Macaca mulatta: one gene and its partner. The protein of the gene in region 1 binds, or shares a complex with, the protein of each later gene. Links are inferred from orthologs where the notes say so. Each region holds a gene or a part of one and is shown in the gene's direction. Other genes may lie near its edges. The genes, in order: EXOSC9 and EXOSC1.

Region 1 (9,790 bases):
AGGCTGGTCTCGAACTCCTGATCTCAGGTGATCTGCACATTTCAGCCTCCCAAAGTGCTGGGATTACAGGTGTGAGCCACCACAACTGGCCATCATCTCTCTTCTGACCTCTCCTTCTGTCATCCTCACTTCTCTCTCTTTCCTGCCTCCTTCTTGGGCTCACCCAGCTAATCCAGGAAAACCCCCCTATTTCAAAATCCATAATTTAATCATTGCTGCAAAAAAACTTCTGCCACATAAGGCAACATATTCACAGTTTCCAGAGATTGGAACATGGACATCTTTAAAAGAGGCCATTGTTTTGCCTACTATACAACCCTATAATAGTTATTTACATGACAATTAGTTTAATTCACTAAAGCAAAGTCTACTTATTTTATTTGTAGAAGACTAATTGACAAATAACTTTTCTAGATTGTATTTATTGCTTAGACATTAAACAGTACAATTTCCTACAGATTTCTATCAATGAGCATGAATCTTCTTTTCATAGATGAGAACAGATCCAAGGGCATCAGTGATGTGTCCAAGATAGAGCCATATGCATAGTCTGAGTAAAGTGAAATGAAAATGTCCCTTCCTTGACTTATCCTCTAATTTGTTGTATTTTTGATAAGCCAAAAACGGATAATTTTTTATTCCTCTAAATACGTTGGAAAAGCTTAATAATAATAATATGAGAGATCACATATAGCTTCCTGGACATAACAAATGATACGGTCAGAGTCAAATGAAGAGCTCTTTTCAATATCCAAGGAAGCCAGAGATGGACTGGATAGTCTAATGGACTTAAAAATCTGTAATTCCAATAAAACATATGCGAGGGAAATTTGCACTACATTTGACATATTAGTGTTCGGCTGTCAATACATAAAATCTTTTCAACATATTAACTGATAAGTGGTTTCCAGTTTGAATCTTGAAAAACAACAAAACAAATGTCTTTGTTAAATGTAGTTGAAAGTCAAAATTCCCTTAAATAAAAAAAATAGCTAAGTGTGGCAGAACAATAAAAAGAAAACAACACTTTTTTACTTTTTTCTGACAATAAAAGCTATTCACATGCCTTACAGAAGATTTGGAAAGTTCATAAAGAAAAAATATCAAAATGAAAAAAAAAAAACTTTTCCCAGACTCCTACCACTCAGAGATAACCATTCTTAATATTTCATCTTATTCCCTTCCAGGATAATTTTTGGGTACACCAAATTCTACACAGACAAATTGTACAGCAGACATATGGTACATAAAATGAGAAACTTTCATTTGTTCACTCATCCACCCAGTTTTTTCCTTTTTTTTTTTTTTTTTGAGATGGAGTCTCACTCTGTCACCCAGGTTGCAGTGCAGTGGCACAATCTCGACTCACTGCAACCTCTGGCTCCCAGGTTCAAGTGATTCTCTAGCCTCAGCCTCCTGAGTAGCTGGGATTACAGGTGTGTGCCACCGTGCCCGGCTAATTTTTGTATTTTTAGTAGAGACAGGGTTTCACCATGTTGGTCAGGCTGGTCTCAAACTCTTGAACTCATATGATCTGCCTGCCTTGGCCTCCCAAAGTACTGAGATTATAGGCATGGCCACGGTGCCCAGGCCTTTTTTTTTTTTTTGAGATGGATTCTTGCTCTATTGTTCAGGATGGAGTGCAGTAGTGTAATCTCAGTTCACTGCAACCTCCACCTTTTGGGTTCAAGTGATTCTCCAGCCTCAGCCTCCTGAGTAGCTGGGATAGGTGTGTGCCACCATGCCCAGCTAATTTTTGTAATTTTAGTGGAGACGGGGGTTTCACCATGTTGGCCAGGCTGGTCTCAAATTCCTGACCTCAAGTGATCTGGCCGCTTTGGCCTCCCAGCGTGCTAAGATTACAGGCGTGAGGCACTGCACCTGGCCTCCACCCATTAATTCTTTCACCAGATATGCTATAATAGGCCATTCATCCTTTTATTCACAAGGTACACTACCAGTCTCAGTGGGTGCTACAAAGGTTGAGAAGACATGGACTTTATATTCTAGTAGAAATGTATTAGAATTCCTTTGGACACACTTTTACAAAGACCAACTCAAATGTATTGGCTCACTAGAATCGCATGGGGTCAGGAAAGTGCATTTCTCCAAGAAATAAAAGGATGCTGGTCAGACAAAGCAACTGATGTTCAATAAAGAGAATGCATACTCAAATAGTTTGTTGAGAACTAGGTTATTTTTAGACAGATCATCCAGATTAACATGCTGATTCAAATTGATTCTTCTTTTAAGAACAGAAAGTAAGGCCAAGTGCGGTGGCTCACGCCTCTAATCCCTGCACTTTGGGAGGCCAAGGTGGGCAAATCACCTGAAGTCAGGAGTTTGAAACCAGCCTGACCAACACGGTGAAACCCCGTCTCTACTAAAAATACAAAAATTAGCCAGGTGTGGTGGCGCATGCCTACAGTCCCAGCTACCCGGGAGGCTGAGGCAGAAGAATTTCTTTAACCTGGGAGGTGGAGGTTGCAGTGAGCCAAGATCATGCCGCTACACTCCAGCCTGGGTGACAGAGTGAGACTGTCTGGAAAAAAAAAAAAAAAAATAGAATGTATCACATTATCTGAACTTCTTCTTAATCTTCCAAACCTATTTTTCCCTGAAATCATGAAACAAATTTTCCTTTGGCATTCAAAAATTTCTTATAAACACAAGGTTGTAAAGTAGATATATTTTATGATGGTATGTAGTAGTAAGTGGAGATGGGTCATACACGTTTGGATTAACTCAAAAATAAAAAGACAAAAGCAGGAGTGTTAAAATTAGAATATAAAAGTGAAAGTAGAAAAGAACAGTGGAAATCCAACAAAAGTGGAAGGAAAGCAAAGTAATCAAGCAGCAATCTCAGAAAAGCAATCTGTCATACTGAGTTTGGGCAGTTGCATGGGAAGCCTTTGCCAAGCCAACAAGGAAGGAGGAAACTAACATTTGAATAGCTATCATGTCCAAAATGTTTCATTAGATACTTTCATTCAGACCACTTAACACAGAGTAATTGTTACTTCCAATCTGAAGATACAGAACTCCCAAATAAGAAAGATTATTTAGCTCACTCCAAGTCCATTTGAGCTGAAGTTTATCTGAAGCCAAAGTCCATTCTCTTTCCATTACCAAGCTGCCTTGCAGGAAGTAACACGCTATTTCAACAAAGGCCTATTTCATTGCTGAAGGGAAAAATTACCAAATGGCCACTGAAAGAACCCAAGGATTTAAATGAAGAACTTATCTACCAGCAGTTCTGGTGTGAAACTGTATAATAAAAATGAACTTATGTTGTTAAAGAACTTAAGTGGTTAGTACCCTGTAATCCCCTTGCCGATTTTGAAAATTAATCATTTCTGTCCACTTTCCTCCTTCTTCACAATTTCTGTCTCCAGACCATGTGGAGCTCATCCCATTTCAGTTTTTGCATATGTTACTCTTTCTGCTTGAAACACTTTTCCTCTCCAGATGGCATCAAGGGTGCTCCTGCTCAACACCAAAGATTTACTTTACTTAAATGTCAGCTCTACAAAGTCACCTGTTCCTGCAACTACCCCTATTAAGATAGCATTCCTATTCTCAGAGAGCACTTACCATTGTGTGAAATTGTTCTATTTGTTTAGGGTTTTTTTGTCTTTCCAAAAAGAATGTAAATTCCTTGAGAGAAAGGATCTTGTCTACCCTGTTTCTCCAGCACTTAAATTATTCTTGGACAGAGTAGGCCCTCTTCAAGTATTTATTGAGTACATGGATTGCAAGTGGTACAAAGTGAGACTAAAATGTATCACTGGTAGAAATAACGTGTGAGAAGCTACCAAAGAAGCCAAAGAGAGACTGCGTAGGAGTTACAGTGCCTACCACCTCTAAAGCAAAAGGAAACAAAATAATAATATGCAAACACTTAAATAGTGCTTACTCCATGCCAGGCACCGTTCTAAACATTTTATGTATCTATTCACTCATTTTATTCCTCATAATAAATAGGTTTCTCACTCCCCGCCGCCCTCTTTTTTTTTTTTTTTTTTTGCAGGTGAGTAATGTGAAGCACACAGGTTAACTTGCCCAGGGTTATAGTAGTTAACGACAGACTTAAAATTTGAACCCTGGCAGTGAACACTTTTTAAAAGTACTATTTGATACTGCCTCTCCAAAAAAGCTGATTGGTTGGCAGCATGGCCCAGCTAAGGTTTCTCTGTGACCATAAAAATAAGTCTATCGACTTAAAATAACTGGAGAGGGGATGAGAAATAAACGGTACATTTAGTTTCAGCCCACAGAAGTAGTAACATCATTGGTTATTACGTGCGAAAGTTCTCCATTCTCATCAACTTCTCAGATCCCACAAAATTTCACCTTTGGCCACAAAAACATCCCATTTCACCATCTTAACTTTCTCCCGCAACCCTTATGCCGCCTCATTCCAGTGTTTGTTCATTTAATATGCTCCAAATCCTGCATCTGCGGCTTTCTAGGGGCCAATGTCAACTCATCTGTGAAATTGCAGTAGTATCTCTCTAGTCTCCACCCCGCAAGAGGACTGAGCGAACGGTGAAGTGTGAGAGCGGTCTACTGATATTAATTTCTACCACTCTGATGGTTATTTTGAGTATCCTTTTCTCCTCCGCATTTTATGAGAAAAGAAACGCAATTTCACGTTCAGAAACGCCCTCCCTAAGCCGCACTGGCTTCTTGCTGACCGCTGGCCCGCCCCAATCACGCTTTGAGTCTGCGCAGTAGCGACTGCCCAAGCCCTTGCCTATTTCCTGCCGCCGCGTTTTGATGACGAAATTTTCCTGCGCCTCGGGACCGGCAGCGGCGCGTAAGGAAAAGTCAGTTTCCGTTTTTCCCGCGGATTCTGGTGCCTGTGGGGCCGGTGACCCAATACCATGAAGGAAACGCCACTCTCAAACTGCGAACGCCGCTTCCTACTCCGTGCCATCGAAGAAAAGAAGGTATGGTTTGGTCCCCGCAGAATTGCGCGCTGCATGGGCGCCCGGGTCTCAAGGTGTGGACTCATACCTGGTCCGCCTGGGCCGGGGGAGCCATTAGGGGAACGACCGGCACGTTCACCCCATTCCCCAGGCTTTATTTTTTTTCGACAGGTTCTTTTCGAGTCTCTAGTCACCCCAGCAGTTGTCCGTGCTGTAGTTTCCACTTTCTTGTATGGGCGGGGTGGTTAGGATTCCACTTTCCCCCAAGTGCTTAGCCCAGGGCCAGACAAAAAGTAGTTGCTTAAGACATACTTGTTGAAGGAATAAATGAATGAATGAATTTGTGCTTAACAGCGGCTGGATGGCAGACAAACCTATGATTATAGGAACATCAGGATCTCATTTGGAACAGATTACGGATGCTGCATTGTGGAACTTGGCAAAACAAGGTAACAGGATTTAAATGAGATAACACATTGAAAAGGGAGAAGTTTGAAAAAAGACCTTATTGACTCGGTTGTTTATAAAGCAGCTAAGAAGTCTGCACAGTATTCTTTGTTTAGCTGACAAAAATAAGTATTTTTTATGCAAGATTTTTTGATTTTGTGGTCACACTTGAACTTTTTAATCATAAACGTATTTTCTGTCACCTATCACATAGTTCTGACTTCTGTAAATCGTGTAGACAACCAGTAGTGCTCATATCGAATTTGTTTCTCACACTAATACAGAGATCTTGAGCATCTTGTCATTAAGTGTACATCCTGATTTCCTGTTTTTCGAGTGACATGAAAGTTAGGTTTTCAAATATTCATTTGAAAGTTGTAAGGCTATTTGGTCAGTTAATGGTGGTGAACTATGGCATGTGAAAACACTTAAATATCAAGTTTTCATGCCATCTTGTATCAATAAATACTTGCTTTAGAGGTAAAGGTCATTGATTTTTTAGAACAATCTGTGGAATAGTAAACATTGTAATAAGAAGAGAGGTGTTTTTTCTGTCGTGTTTTTAGTTGCACCAATTTATGTTTTATTTCTGTGTATATTATACTTTACATATATTTTTTACTTTCTATGATTTATCTGGCTTACTATGATATTACTCACATTAAGATTGAAACTTGTGATCTGTTTCAGATTTTTTTTTTTTGGAAGGAGAGTCTATTTAGTTAATACTTTGTACTTTATCTTTGCAGAGTTCTTGGACAGGTTTCCTGTGAACTTGTGTCTCCAAAACTCAATAGGGCAACAGAAGGTATTCTTTTTTTTAACCTTGAACTCTCTCAGATGGCTGCTCCAGCTTTCGAACCTGGCAGGTATTTAAATCTTTTTCTTAAGCTGCTTTAGTCATAGGAGAACCTAACAGCAATGAGCTTTTGTTTTAATACCAGGTGTTATATTTCATGACAGTAGCCCATTCCTATTTTCTTATTATAGGCAGTCAGATCTCTTGGTGAAGTTGAATCGACTCTTGGAAAGATGTCTAAGAAATTCGAAGTGTATAGACACTGAATCTCTCTGTGTTGTTGCTGGTGAAAAGGTGGGGAATATGCCCATAATTCTTAATCTTAGGATGAATACTGTTGATTCATGGATCCCGGTGTCTGAGCTTTTATTCTCAGAACTTTAGTCAACTCAAGTTTTGTACTGATTCACTTCACTTCAGATGTTCTTGAGTGATACCCTTAGAACTTTGTGCCACCTCTATCTCTCTGAAGGGATAAAAAGCATTATTCTAAAAGGGTGAAAATAGCAACTTAGATTTTTGTGTAAAAATATTTTATTCAAAGAATTTGTGGCTTTTTCATATAATCTCATTTTCTTATCTGCGTTCATAGAAGCAGGTGTTCATAGAAGCAGGTAGTTTTTCATGCAGAACTCAAGAACAGAAGAAATCCTTCATTTGGATAGGTTTATCGAGTTACACAGGGCCACACCATGTCAGTGGCAGGGATAATTTTGAAAATCTTAGTCCCAATAAATTGTGCTGCATTAGGATATTAGACTTTTATTCTTTTTTTTTTTTTGAGACAGAGTCTCACTCTGTTGCCCAGACTGGAGTGCAGTGGTATAATCTCAGCTCACTGCATCCTCTGCCTCCCCTGTTCAAGCAATTCTCCCACTCAGCTTTCTGAGCAGCTGGAACTACAGGCATCTGCCACCACACCCGGCTAATTTTTGTATTTTTAGTAGAGACAGAGTTTCACCATCAGACTGGTCTTGAACTCCAGACCTCAAGTGATCCACCCACCTTGGCCTCCCAAAGTGCTGGGATTATAGGCGTGAGCTACTGTGCCTGGCCAGAATTTGATTCTTGATTAGGGTATTTTGACAAGCATTTTTATTCCAGAGAAGTCATTTAGCTTTCCATATTCCATACCTAAGTATAATACTTCCTATTTGCATTACTTGTAAAGTTATTAAAAATATCACAAAACCTAAAAGGTTAACGTTTTTTAATTTTTGAAAATATTCATTATTTTCTGTTAGGGACAGTGACACTTTCATCCAGGCAGGAGTGCAGTGGTGTTATTATAGCTCACTGTAACCTTAAACTCCTGGGCTCAAGGGATCCTCTCTCCTTAGCCTCCCGAATAGCTAGGACTACAGGCGCATGCCACTCCACCCAGCTAACTAAAAAACTTTTTTTTTTTTCGTAGAGATAGGGTCTTGCTGTGTTGCCCAGGCTGGTCTCGAACTCCTAGGCTCAAGCAATTCTCCCATCTTCGCCTCCCAAAGTGCTGGGATTACAGGTGAATGCCACTGTGCCTGACCTAGAGTTTGTGGTTTTTAACAGACATGATAAAAATGTAATTAGATTTGAGGTTAGGAAAATCTTAGTATTAAACATTAGAGTAGTTCTGTCTATTTAAAGTATGTGTTCTACGATTAAACGACTCACATAGTATTTCAGATGTTTGGCTTAAATTTTCTAAAATACATTTTTTGTTAACAAACTAGAAGGAGTAACTGCATGTTTTAACAGCAAGAAAAATTACTTTGTGCACAATGTTACTTTTCTTGATAAATAGCCACTGGTTGTAATCAGGATTTATTTTATTTTAAATTCACTATCAGGTTTGGCAAATACGTGTAGACCTACATTTATTAAATCATGATGGAAATATTATTGATGCTGCCAGCATTGCTGCAATTGTGGCTTTATGTCACTTCCGAAGACCTGATGTCTCTGTCCAAGGAGATGAAGTAACACTGGTAAGCTCTTATGTGAACCAGGATCCTTGATACGAATGAATGAGGAGGGTCCTAAATGTGCAGGAAACTTGTTTTTAGTGAAGTTATGTTGTAGATGGCAATTGGGTAGGTTCTAAAAATTTGTTCATAAGACTAAAACTGCATATGGTCAAAATTGCCCTTGAAATCTCTTAACAGTTCCTCTATTGAAACATTTGTCAGTAAGAACATACCGTAGCATGGTTTTCCAGAATAGAATTAGATGACTATTTTGGATTGAGCATTAGATGAAGTGTTTGACTTATGTTTAAGGGCCATATGTGTGAAAAATAAATGAATCTCAGCACAGTGAGATGCTTACCCTGCAAGAGGTATGCAATAGCTGAAAAGCACTGAGGAATCAGCAGATTCATATTTGTCTCCAGGATGTTTGTTCATTAGGCAAAGAGCTGATGAAAGTCCATCAGAAATACCCGGAGGGCTTGTTAAAACATATTGCTAGACTCTACTCCCAAAGTGAAACAGGGCTACGACTTAAGAATTTGTACTTTTAACTTTGAGTTCTTAGGTAATACTGATGTTGCTGGTCCAGGGAGCACATTTTGAAAACCATTGACCTACATTTTCTTTATCTTTTGTTCTGAGTATGTCAGTTTTAATTTATATAAATTACTTGCTAGAATAATGAAAGTGCACCGTAGTTGTAGTTTGAATCCTGAAGTTGCAAAAGGACACATCAGATGCCCAGATTTTCTAAACAATGATTCATAATTTTGCTTTTGGGCAGTAGACTGGAGCAGAACCGTTAAAAAGTGAGAAGTAGGGACAAAGGTTTATTAACAGTAGAGGTAATATTCTTTTAGAGGAGGGAGTTTATATAAGGAAGTGAAAAAAAGTAGAAAGCGATTACTACACTTGAAAGATCAATTAAAGAATACTGTGGTGTTCTTGCTAGTGGGAATGTAAAATGGTACAGCCATGTTGGAAAAGTTTGGCAGCTTTCTTAAGTTTTAAGTGTAGACAACATTCTATATTCAGAAAAATAACATTAGAAGGAAATACTCTTTTTTTTTTTTTTTTTGAGACAGGGTCTCACTCTGTTGTCCAGGCTGGGGTGCAGTGGCATGATCTCGGCTCACTGTACCCTCTGCCTCTTGAACTTAAGCAATCCTCCCTCCTCAGTCTCTTGAGTAGCGGGGACTACAGGTGTGTGCCACCCGCTTGACTAATTTTTGTGTTTTTTGTAGAGATATGGTTTCACCAAATTGCCCAGGCTGGTCTTGAACTCCTGGGCTCAAGTGATTCTCCCACCTCGGCCTCCCAAAGTGTTGGGATTACAGGCATGAGCCACCATGGCCAGCTGAAAATACTCCTCTCTTATATGTACATCTTTCAGCAGATTTAACCTTGTAAATTTTTTTTTTTTTTTTTTTTTTGAGACAAGAGTTTCACTCTTGTTGCCCGGGCTGGAGTACAATGATGTGATCTCAACCCACTGCAACATCTGCCTCCCGGGTTCAAGCGATTTTCCTGCCTCAGCCTCCCAAGTAGCTGGAACTATAGGCATGCACAACCACGCCTGGCTAATTTTGTATTTTTAGTAGAGACAGGGTTTCTCCATGTTGGTCAGGCTGGTCTCGAAGTCCCCACCTCGCCTGCATCGG
Region 2 (9,180 bases), on another chromosome or scaffold:
TGAGATCCGGCTACTGCACTCCAGCCTGGGCGACAGAGCGAGACTCCTTCTCAAAAAAAAAAAAATAATAAAATAAAATAAAATAAAATTGGTTTCCTTAGTCACATTAGCCACATTTCAAGTACTCAGTAGCCACTTGTGGCTAGTGGTTGCTATACTGGTCAGCACATGACTTTTCTGTCACTACATAAAGTTTTACTGGACTGTTCTGGTCTACAGATTTCTAGAATAATAAGGCAGCCAAGGTCAGGCATGCGTAGTTCCTTCACTGAGCTGATTCTCTGAATACAGAGTTTCTACCTGTGTCTGGGAAACAGGGATGCCAGAGGATGATTGGGAAGCCTATTTTTGAACATCTGAAGCTGAGACCTTTTTCTGCAGAGAAGCAAAAGACTTTTATTTTCTGGCATTCCTTGATTTTTTTCCTTTTTAGATTTTTTTTTTTTTTTTTTGAGGCAGGGCCTTGCTCTGTCACCCAGGCTGGAGTGCAGTGGCACGATCTTGGCTCACTGCAGCCTCTGCCTCTTGGGTTCAAGTGATTCTACTGCCTCTGCCTCCCGAGTAGCTGGGGTTATAGGCGTATGCTGCCACGCCTAGCTAATTTTTGTATTTTTAGTACAGATGGGGTTTTACCAGGTTGGCCAGGCTGGTCCCGAACTCCTGACCTCAAGTGATGTGCCCACCTCAGCCTCCCAAAGTGCTGGGATTACAGGCATGAGCCACCGTGTCCAGCCTTTTTTTTTTTTTTTCCAATGTTAGCCATCTATACTTTAAAAAATCTATACTTCTCTGAAGGGCAAGTTGTGAAAAGACTAAAAAAAAAAAAGCTGGGAGTGGTGGCTCACGCCTGTAATCCCACCACTTTCGGAGGCCGAGGCAGGCGGATCACAAGGTCAGGAGATCGAGACCATCCTGGCTAACATGGTGAAACCTCATCTCCACTAAAAAATTAGCCGGGCGTGGCGGCATGTGCCTGTTGTCCCAGCTGCTGGGGAGGCTGAGGCAGGAGAATGGCATGAACTTGGGAGGCAGAGCTTGCAGTGAGCCGAGATCGTGCCACTGTACTCCAGCCTGGGTGACAGAGCAAGACTCTGTCTCAAAAAAAAAAAAAACAAAAAAAAACTGCAGGGTGTGGTGGCTGACGTCTATAATCCCGGCACTTTGGGAGGCCGAGGCAGGCGGATCACCTGAGGTCAGGAGTTTGAGACCAGCCTGACCAACATGGAGAAACCCTGTCTCTACTAAAAATACAAAATTAGCCAGGCATGGTGGTGCATGCCTTTAATCCCAGCTCCTCAGGAGGCTGAGGCAGGAGAATTCTTTGAACCTGGGAGGCAGAGGTTGCGGTGAGCCAAGATTGCGCCATTGCACTCCAGCCTGGGCACCAAGAGCGAAACTCTGTCTCAAAAAAAAACCCATACCATCTTTGTTTCCCATGGTAACTCTATCAGGTGGCCAGAGTGGCTCTTATTCCCCTTTACATGTGTCACTTATGCAGAGAAGTAGGAGTTAACTTGTCTTAAATTCTCTACTTAGTAGGGTTGCTTGCATTGAAGTCCTAGTAATCCCCAGTTCGTTGCTGCTTCCTTGAGCTGACAACTGCTTATACTCTGATGCTGATCTTTTCTCTATTCCACAGGTCTCTAGTATCAATTCACGCTTTGCCAAAGTACACATCCTATATGTGGGGTCCATGCCACTTAAGAACTCTTTTCGAGGAACTATCCGGTAAGAAGTATCCTTGTCACGTATGCCTTAGCAACTGCAATAAGATTAGGATAGACTAGGACACCAGAATTTTGAGCAACAGTTACAATTCCTATTTTTCTCTTGCCCATTTTTCTTTCTTCTTTGTGCTTTGATTCTCCCCTAGTAGTATCCAAAAATATGTGGATGAGCTAGGACAAAAGGAAAATATTAACAAGAGAGGGTTTAAAAGTAAAGCAAAGGCTGGGCACAGTGGTTCATGCCTGTAATCCTAGCACTTTGGGAAGCTGAAGCGGATGGATCTCTTGAGATCAGGAGTTTGAGACCAGCCTAGCCAACATGGTGAAACACCGTCTCTGTAAAAAATACAAAAATTAGCCGGGCACAGTGGCTCACACCTGTAATCCTAGCACTTTGGGAGGCCAAGGTGGGCAGATCACAAAGTCAGGAGTTTGAGACCAGCCTGGCCAATATGGTGAAACCACGTCTCTACTAAAAATACAAAAACTAGCCGGACATGGTGGCGTGCGCCTGTAATCCCAGCTACTCAGGAGGCTGAACCCGGGAGGCAGAGGTTGCAGTGAGCCAAGATCACGCCACTGCACTCCGGCACAGGGTACACAGCGAGACTCCATCTCTTAAAAAAAAAAAAAAAAAAAAATTAGCTGGGCATGGTGGTGCATACCTGTTGTCCCAGCTACTTGTGGAGCTAAAGTGGGAAGATCACTTGAGCCTAGGAGGCGGAGGTTGCAGTGAGCTGAGATTGTACCACTGCACTCCAGCCTGGGTGACAAAGTGAGACCCTGTCTCAAAAAACAAATAAATAAATGAAAAGTAAAGCAAAAAGAATTGAGTGAAGCTGAAGTTTATCAGTGTCAGGATGACTCAAACCAAAGTGGAAGGCATTCTAGGAAGCACTTTTTAAAAATTTTAATATAGATTGAACTCAGAGGTTATAAAACATTGAAAAGATTTGTGAGTGAGACGGTGATTTCCTGTGGCTTCCTTGAGAAAGGACAAACATTTCTTGCCAGGCAGATAATCTAACTTTTGAGGCCCTTTCCAGCCTCAGGATTTGATGTGGTTCTGTAGTGCAGCAATCTCCAAGCTTCTTGGCACCAGGGACCAGTTTCTTGGAAGACAGTTTTTCCACAGACTGTGGTGGGAGTGGTTGCAGAATGATTCAAGTGCATTACATTTATGCTGTACTTTATTTCTATTATTATTACACTGTAATATATAATGAAATAATTACACAGCTCACCATAATGTAGAATCAGCGGGAACCCTGAGTTTCTTTCCCTGCAATTCGATGGTCCCATCTGGGGGTGATGGGAGACAGTGACAGATCGTCAAGCATTAGATTCTCATAATGAGTGGGCAACCTAGCTCCCTCATGTGCACAGTTCACAATAGGGTTCATACTTCTATGAGAATCTAATGCCCACTTTGATCTGACAGGGGGCGGAGCTCAGGCAGTAATGTGTGTGATTGGGGAGCAGCTGTAAATACAGATGAAGCTTGCTTGCCACTCACTTCCTTCTGTGCAGCCCGGTTCCTAACAGGCCACCAGAAGTTGGGGACCCTTGCTATAGTGCTTCTGTTCAAGCCCTGAGGCAACAAAACTCCTTATCGTTTCTTGCCAAATCTGATCTGCCTTTATCTAATCAGGTATTGATACTGCTGCTCCGTGTGGTCTGAGGATGCTTCTCCACCCTGCTCCTCTGAGTAGCAGCTGGGTCCCAATTAAGACTTGTTCTGTCTGTTCTTGTAGCTCTTTATTTACTAGGAATCTACAGAATAATTCTTTCTCACAGGCTGGGCAAGGTGACTCATGCCTGTAATCCCAGCACTTTGGGAAGCTGAGGCGGGTGGATCACCTGAGGCCAGGAGTTCAAGACCAGCCTGGCCAATGTGGTGAAACCCCATCTCCACTAAAAATACAAAAACTAGCCGGGCGTGGCAGCACATGCCTGTAATTCCAGCTGCTTGAGAGGCTGAGGCATGAAAAATGCCTGAAGCCAGGAGGCGGAGGTTGCAGTGAGCCGAGATCGTGCCACTGTACTCCAGCCTGGGTGACAGAGGGAGACTCTGTCTTTAAAAAAAAAAAAAAAAAAAAAAATTCTTTCTCACAGATAATTAATCTTTCTGTTAATTCTTTTTTTATAGCAAGGAAGATGTCCGAGCAACTGAAAAAGACAAGGTTGTTGGTTGGTTCTCTTTTTTTAACGGCTTTACAAATCTCAATCCCTTAAAAGTATTATCTCAGACCAGGCATGGTTGCACACACCTGTAATCCCAGTACTTTGGGAGGCTGAGGCGGGAGGATCACTTGAGGCCAGGACTTCAAGACCAGCCCTGGCAACACAGTGAGACCCTGTCTCTACAAAAATTTTAAAAATTAAAAATTAGCGGGCATGGTGGCTCATGCTTGTAGTCATAGCTGCTTGAGAGGATGTGGCTGGAGGATTGCTTGAGCCCAGGAGTTTGAGGTTATGTGGTGGCACAAACCTGTAGTCCTAGCTACTTGGGAGGCTGAGGCAGGAGGATCCCTTGGTCCAGCAGTCCAAGGCTGCAGTGAGCTACCATTGCATCACTGCACTCCAGCCTGGGTGACACAGTGGGATTCCACCCTTAACAAAAAAGGGCTGGGTGCGGTGGCGCACACCTGTAATCCCAGCTTTTTGGAAGGCCAAGGCAGGCAGATCACGAGCTCAGGAGTTCAAGACCAGTCTGACCAACATGGTGAAACCCCATCTCTACTAAAAATACAAAAACTAGCCAGCGTCATGCTGCGCGCCTGTAATCCCAGCTACTCAGGAGGCTAAGGCAGGAGAATCGCTTGAACCTGGGAGGTGGAGGTTGCAGTGAGCCAAGATCGTACCACTGCACTCCAGCCTGGGCAACAGAGCGAGACTCCATCTCAAAAAAAAAAAAAAAAAAAAAAAAAACAACTTTTCATTTGTATGATAATACTATAGAAGCAATTAAAAGTTGTTGACTTGACATGAGTAATGATGATTTCTACCCTCCAGGATTAGAAAGTAGACTGGCTTTACCAGAAGGGTTCACAGTTTCATATAGACCCTGTCTAGAACTTTCACTTACCATTCCTGTTCTTTCTTTACAGGTTGAAATTTATAAGAGTTTCCGCCCAGGTGACATTGTCTTGGCCAAAGTGGTATCCTTTATTCCCAGCAGACTTCTGGGTTTTTGTCAAAAGAAGAGATGGAGGCTGGGCGTGGTGGCTCATGCCTGTAATCCCAGCACTTTGGGAGGCCAAGGCGGGTGGATCACCTGAGGTCAGGAGTTCGAGACCAGCCTGGCCCAACATGGTGAAACCCTGTCTCTACTGAAAATACAAAAATTAGCTGGACGTGGTGGCGCATGGCTGTAATCTCAGCTACTCGGGAAACTGAGGCAGGAGAACCGCTGGAACGCTGGAGGCACAGGTTGCTGTGAGCTGAGATCGCGCCACTGCTCTCCAGCCTGGGTAACAGAGCAAGACTCCGTCTCAAAAAAACAAAACAGAGAAAGTAGAAAAACAACTCAGCTGGCTAAGGTTGGGGGAAGACTTCTAACTCCTCATTTTCCTTCAGTGTTATGTGACTAGATCTCCCTAGGTGATGCACAGTCCAACTACCTGCTAACCACTGCCGAGAACGAGCTGGGAGTAGTGGTAGCCCACAGTGAGTCAGGTGAGATGGCCTTGCTTCCACATCCTTACTTTCCCTGGAGCTATGGTTTGGGATTAATCCATTGTTTTTCCTGGTTTCCCTTATCTGGGAAGCAGTATGGCTGTAGATATTTCCTTCTGAGATTAGAATGATTTTTTTTTTCTTCTTTGCTTGGTGCCGGTGGTGGTGGTGGTGGTTTGAGACTGGGTCTCACTGTGTCGAGGAGGCTGGAGTGCAGTGGTGCGATCTCCACTCACCACAGCCTTCACCTCCCGGGTTCAGGCAATTCTCATCACCCAAGTAACTGGGATTACAGATACACGCCACCACACCTAGCTAATTTTTGTATTTTTAGTAGAGACGGGGTTTCGCCATGTTGGCCAGACTGGTCTCAAACTCCTGGCCTCAAATGATCTGCCCGCCTTGGCCTCCCAAAGTGCTGAGATTGTAGGTGTGAGCCACCACACCCAGCCTGATTCTCCTTATATAAATCCAAGGAAACGGGACTCCATAAGTCAGTAGAACAAAGTTTTTTCTTTGTGAGTTGAGGTTCAGTAGGAAGCTTGGTGGCACTTCAGTTTCATACCCAGCATAAAAGAGGAGTCCCAGGCAAATCTTTGGGATCTGGGCTCCACCAGTTTTTCCCTTCCAGGTATCCAGATGGTTCCCATCAGCTGGTGTGAGATGCAGTGCCCTAAGACCCACACTAAAGAATTCCGGAAAGTAGCCCGAGTACAACCTGAATTCTTGCAGACCTAAGAAGCCACTTTTTACCCCATGGAAGGGGGTAAGCTGTTCCTGAGTATAACACCAAGATGCTGCTGTCTATTCAAACACCTGGCGTCGGCCAACAGCCTCTTCCAGAAAAATCTGCCAGAAACTTAGGCTATAGATGGAACACGTTTCTGTGAACCTATCAGTGGATTTCATTCTCTTGAGTAATAAAACTTATCTTTTCAAGGCACCAACAAACAAAACTGTGATATTGGAAATAGCCTAACAAAACTGTGATATTGGAAATAGCCTATCCCCCCTGACAGTCCTTATAAATACCTATTTTTTGTTATGATAAAACTTTTTTACTAAAAGGATGTTATAGTTGTCTTAAGCAGAGAAAGACGTCTAAATGGTGTCAGGACATTTCAGTACTTCTGCTTATTGAGTACTCACTGTGCTAGGCACTGAGTCAAGTGCTTTACATACATCCCCTTCATTCAGGTACATTATGGTCTAATGAAAATTTGAGGACACATGTGATACAGATAGCATGTGAGGCGGACGTGGTGGCTCATGCTTGTAAATCCCAACACTTTGGGAGGCCGAGTTAGGTTGAAGTCAGGAGTTCGAGACCAGCCCGGCCAACGTGGTAAAACCCCATCTTTACTAAAAATACAAAAATTAGCCGGGCGTGGTGGCACGTGCCTGTAATCCCAACTACTCGGGAAGCTGAGGCAGGAAGATCACTTGAACCCTGGACGTGGAAGTTGTAGTGAGCCGAGATTGTGCCACTATACTCCAGCCCGGACAACAGAGCGAGACTCTTGTCTCAAAAAAAATAAGTAACATGTCTAAAAGTATTTGATACACATTACTGATATAGTGGGTACTCCAGGAAATGTTTAATCTGAATTGAAAAGTGGGACAGAGTACTGTCATATGAGGTGGCCAGGAAAGGATTAGTGACATGAGATAAAAATAAATTAAAGAACATAAGTAAGTGAATATATTCAAGGCAGAGAGACAAGCCCAGGCTAAGTACAGAAGCAGAAATTAAGGCATAAGTTTGGGGATGAGGAAGGGATGAAAGTTAAGCATGGAGAGGTTGCCGACAAAATACGAGTCTTGAGATGTCACTTCTTGAGATGTTACTCAAGAAGCCCATCTCTTCAGTATTAGTGACAGTGCATAATGTGAGCTTTAGAATCAGCCCACCTTAGTTTCTATCCTCTGCTTCCTAAGCTTGAACGTTAGGGTTTCTTTAATTGAAAATTTTACCGAGATTAAGATCATTGTAGATCCACATCCAGGTTTTGTTGTTTGTTTGTTTTTGAGACAGAGTCTTGCTGTTACCTAGGCTGGAGTGCAGTGGCGCGATCTCAACTCACTGCAGCTTCTGCTTTCCCGGTAGCTGGGAGTACAGGCATGCACCACCATTCCCAGCTAACTTTTGGTAGAGATGAGGTTTCACCATGTTGGCCAGACTGGTCTTGAACTCCTGACCTCAGGTGATCCACCTGCCTTGGCCTCCCAAAATGCTGGGCTTATAGGCATCAGCCACCATGCCCGGCCTTGGTGTTTTTGTTTGTTGTACATGCAATTTTTAAAGAGACAGGGCCTCAGAATGTCACCCAGGATGAAGCGCAGTGGTGCAGTCATAGCTTACTGCAGCCTCAAACTCCTGGACTCACGTAATTCCCCCACATCAGTCCCCTGGGTAGCTGGGACTACAGGCACATACCACCATGCCTGGCTAATTTTTTTTGTAGAGACCAGGTCTTGCTATGTTGCCCAGGCCAGTCTCAAACTCCTGGCCTCAAGTGATCCTCAGCCTCCCAAAGTGCTGGGATTACAGGTGTGTGCCGCCGTGCTGGCCAAAATTACCAACTTCTGGTCTAGGATTCTGCACAGGTTAGGAAAGTAACATTCCACCAGCCTCTTGGAGACTGAAATTACTCAAGGTTATTGTGTAGGTCAAATGAAAATCTAAAATTGAAAAGCAAGATGCTTGAAAGTATTTAAATCTTAGAACCTTGATTTGCTTGAACTAGTAATATCCATCCCAGCCCCAGTACCAAGTGGTGTGACATTTGGTGCTTTTTACATGTTTCTTTGGGCCTGTTTCCTCTTCCTTAAACAGGAGTTACCAGCCCTTTCGTGGGTTAAGATTAGAGCTAACGTATGTAATATCCCTCATCCAGTGGATGGCAGAGGAGCATTAGGAGCTCAACAGATGGTGTTACTTGCTCCCACCAGAAGGAAAAGGGAATGTTCTTTCTCCAGCTTTATGGATTTCTTGTATTCCAGTGATCTTTTCAAAGGAGAGAGAAGGCAATTGTGTTTATAATGTAATTATACTCCTTTCCACTGCACTGTCACTTTTTGAGGTCATCTTTTAAGTTTTCAAGTTGGTAAAACGGTTAAAAAATTCTGAGGCCTGCACGGTGGCTCACACCTGTAATCACAGCACTTTGGGAGGCCAAAACTGGTTCGAGACCAGCCTGGGCAACTTGGCAAAAACCCGTCTCTACTAAAAAATACAGAAATTAAGCAGGCATAGTGGCACAAGCCTGTGGTCCCAGCTATTTGGGAGGCTGAGGCAGGAGGATTGCTTGAACCCTGGAGGCAGAGGCTGCAGTGAGCTGAGATTGTGCCACTGCACTGAAGTTTGGGCGGCAGAGTGAGACTGTCTCAAAAAGAGAAAAAAAAAACAGCAGACTTTATTTACTCTAAAGAGGATACAATGGAGTTTCAGTGACTTTCCAGTCAGGGGAGCACCAAGCAAGAGCTGCAGGGGGTAACATGAATGGAGGGCTTGGCCAGGAGGGCCTCCCACCACCACCTCAGCTCACCAGGCTGACATGAAAAGCCCAGGGAGATGTGTCATTTTTGGACCAACCATGTAAAGTTGTGACTGGGTGTCCCAAAACAAACTGCCACACAAGGACTAGGGTAGTGGGAGACATTTCAAGTTAAATGCTAAGGTTTCCTCAGATAAGCTCTTCCACATCACACAAGAAACTATTGCACATCACTCCTTTATTATACTGATCTGGAAAAAGGATTTAGTACAGTTATG

What was found.
Region 2: EXOSC9 (region 1) and EXOSC1 share a complex: the UniProt entries of both Homo sapiens proteins name them as parts of the RNA exosome core complex. The link is inferred for Macaca mulatta from reciprocal best matches to the Homo sapiens genes EXOSC9 and EXOSC1.

What each region holds. Positions count from the first base shown.
Region 1 is NC_133410.1:130,613,614-130,623,403, forward strand, and holds the start of EXOSC9 (exosome complex component RRP45), read left to right. Parts: upstream 1-4,802; 5' UTR 4,803-4,886; coding exon 4,887-4,952; intron 4,953-5,285; coding exon 5,286-5,380; intron 5,381-6,127; coding exon 6,128-6,247; intron 6,248-6,368; coding exon 6,369-6,471; intron 6,472-8,009; coding exon 8,010-8,147; intron 8,148-9,790. UniProt on the Homo sapiens protein: Non-catalytic component of the RNA exosome complex which has 3'->5' exoribonuclease activity and participates in a multitude of cellular RNA processing and degradation events.
Region 2 is NC_133414.1:109,484,674-109,493,853, reverse strand, and holds the end of EXOSC1 (exosome complex component CSL4), read left to right. Parts: intron 1-1,639; coding exon 1,640-1,728; intron 1,729-3,876; coding exon 3,877-3,910; coding exon of another isoform or gene 3,911-3,917; intron 3,918-4,837; coding exon 4,838-4,888; coding exon of another isoform or gene 4,889-4,973; intron 4,974-5,320; coding exon 5,321-5,405; intron 5,406-5,821; coding exon of another isoform or gene 5,822-5,835; exon of another isoform or gene 5,836-6,036; coding exon 6,037-6,143; 3' UTR 6,144-6,380; downstream 6,381-9,180. UniProt on the Homo sapiens protein: Non-catalytic component of the RNA exosome complex which has 3'->5' exoribonuclease activity and participates in a multitude of cellular RNA processing and degradation events.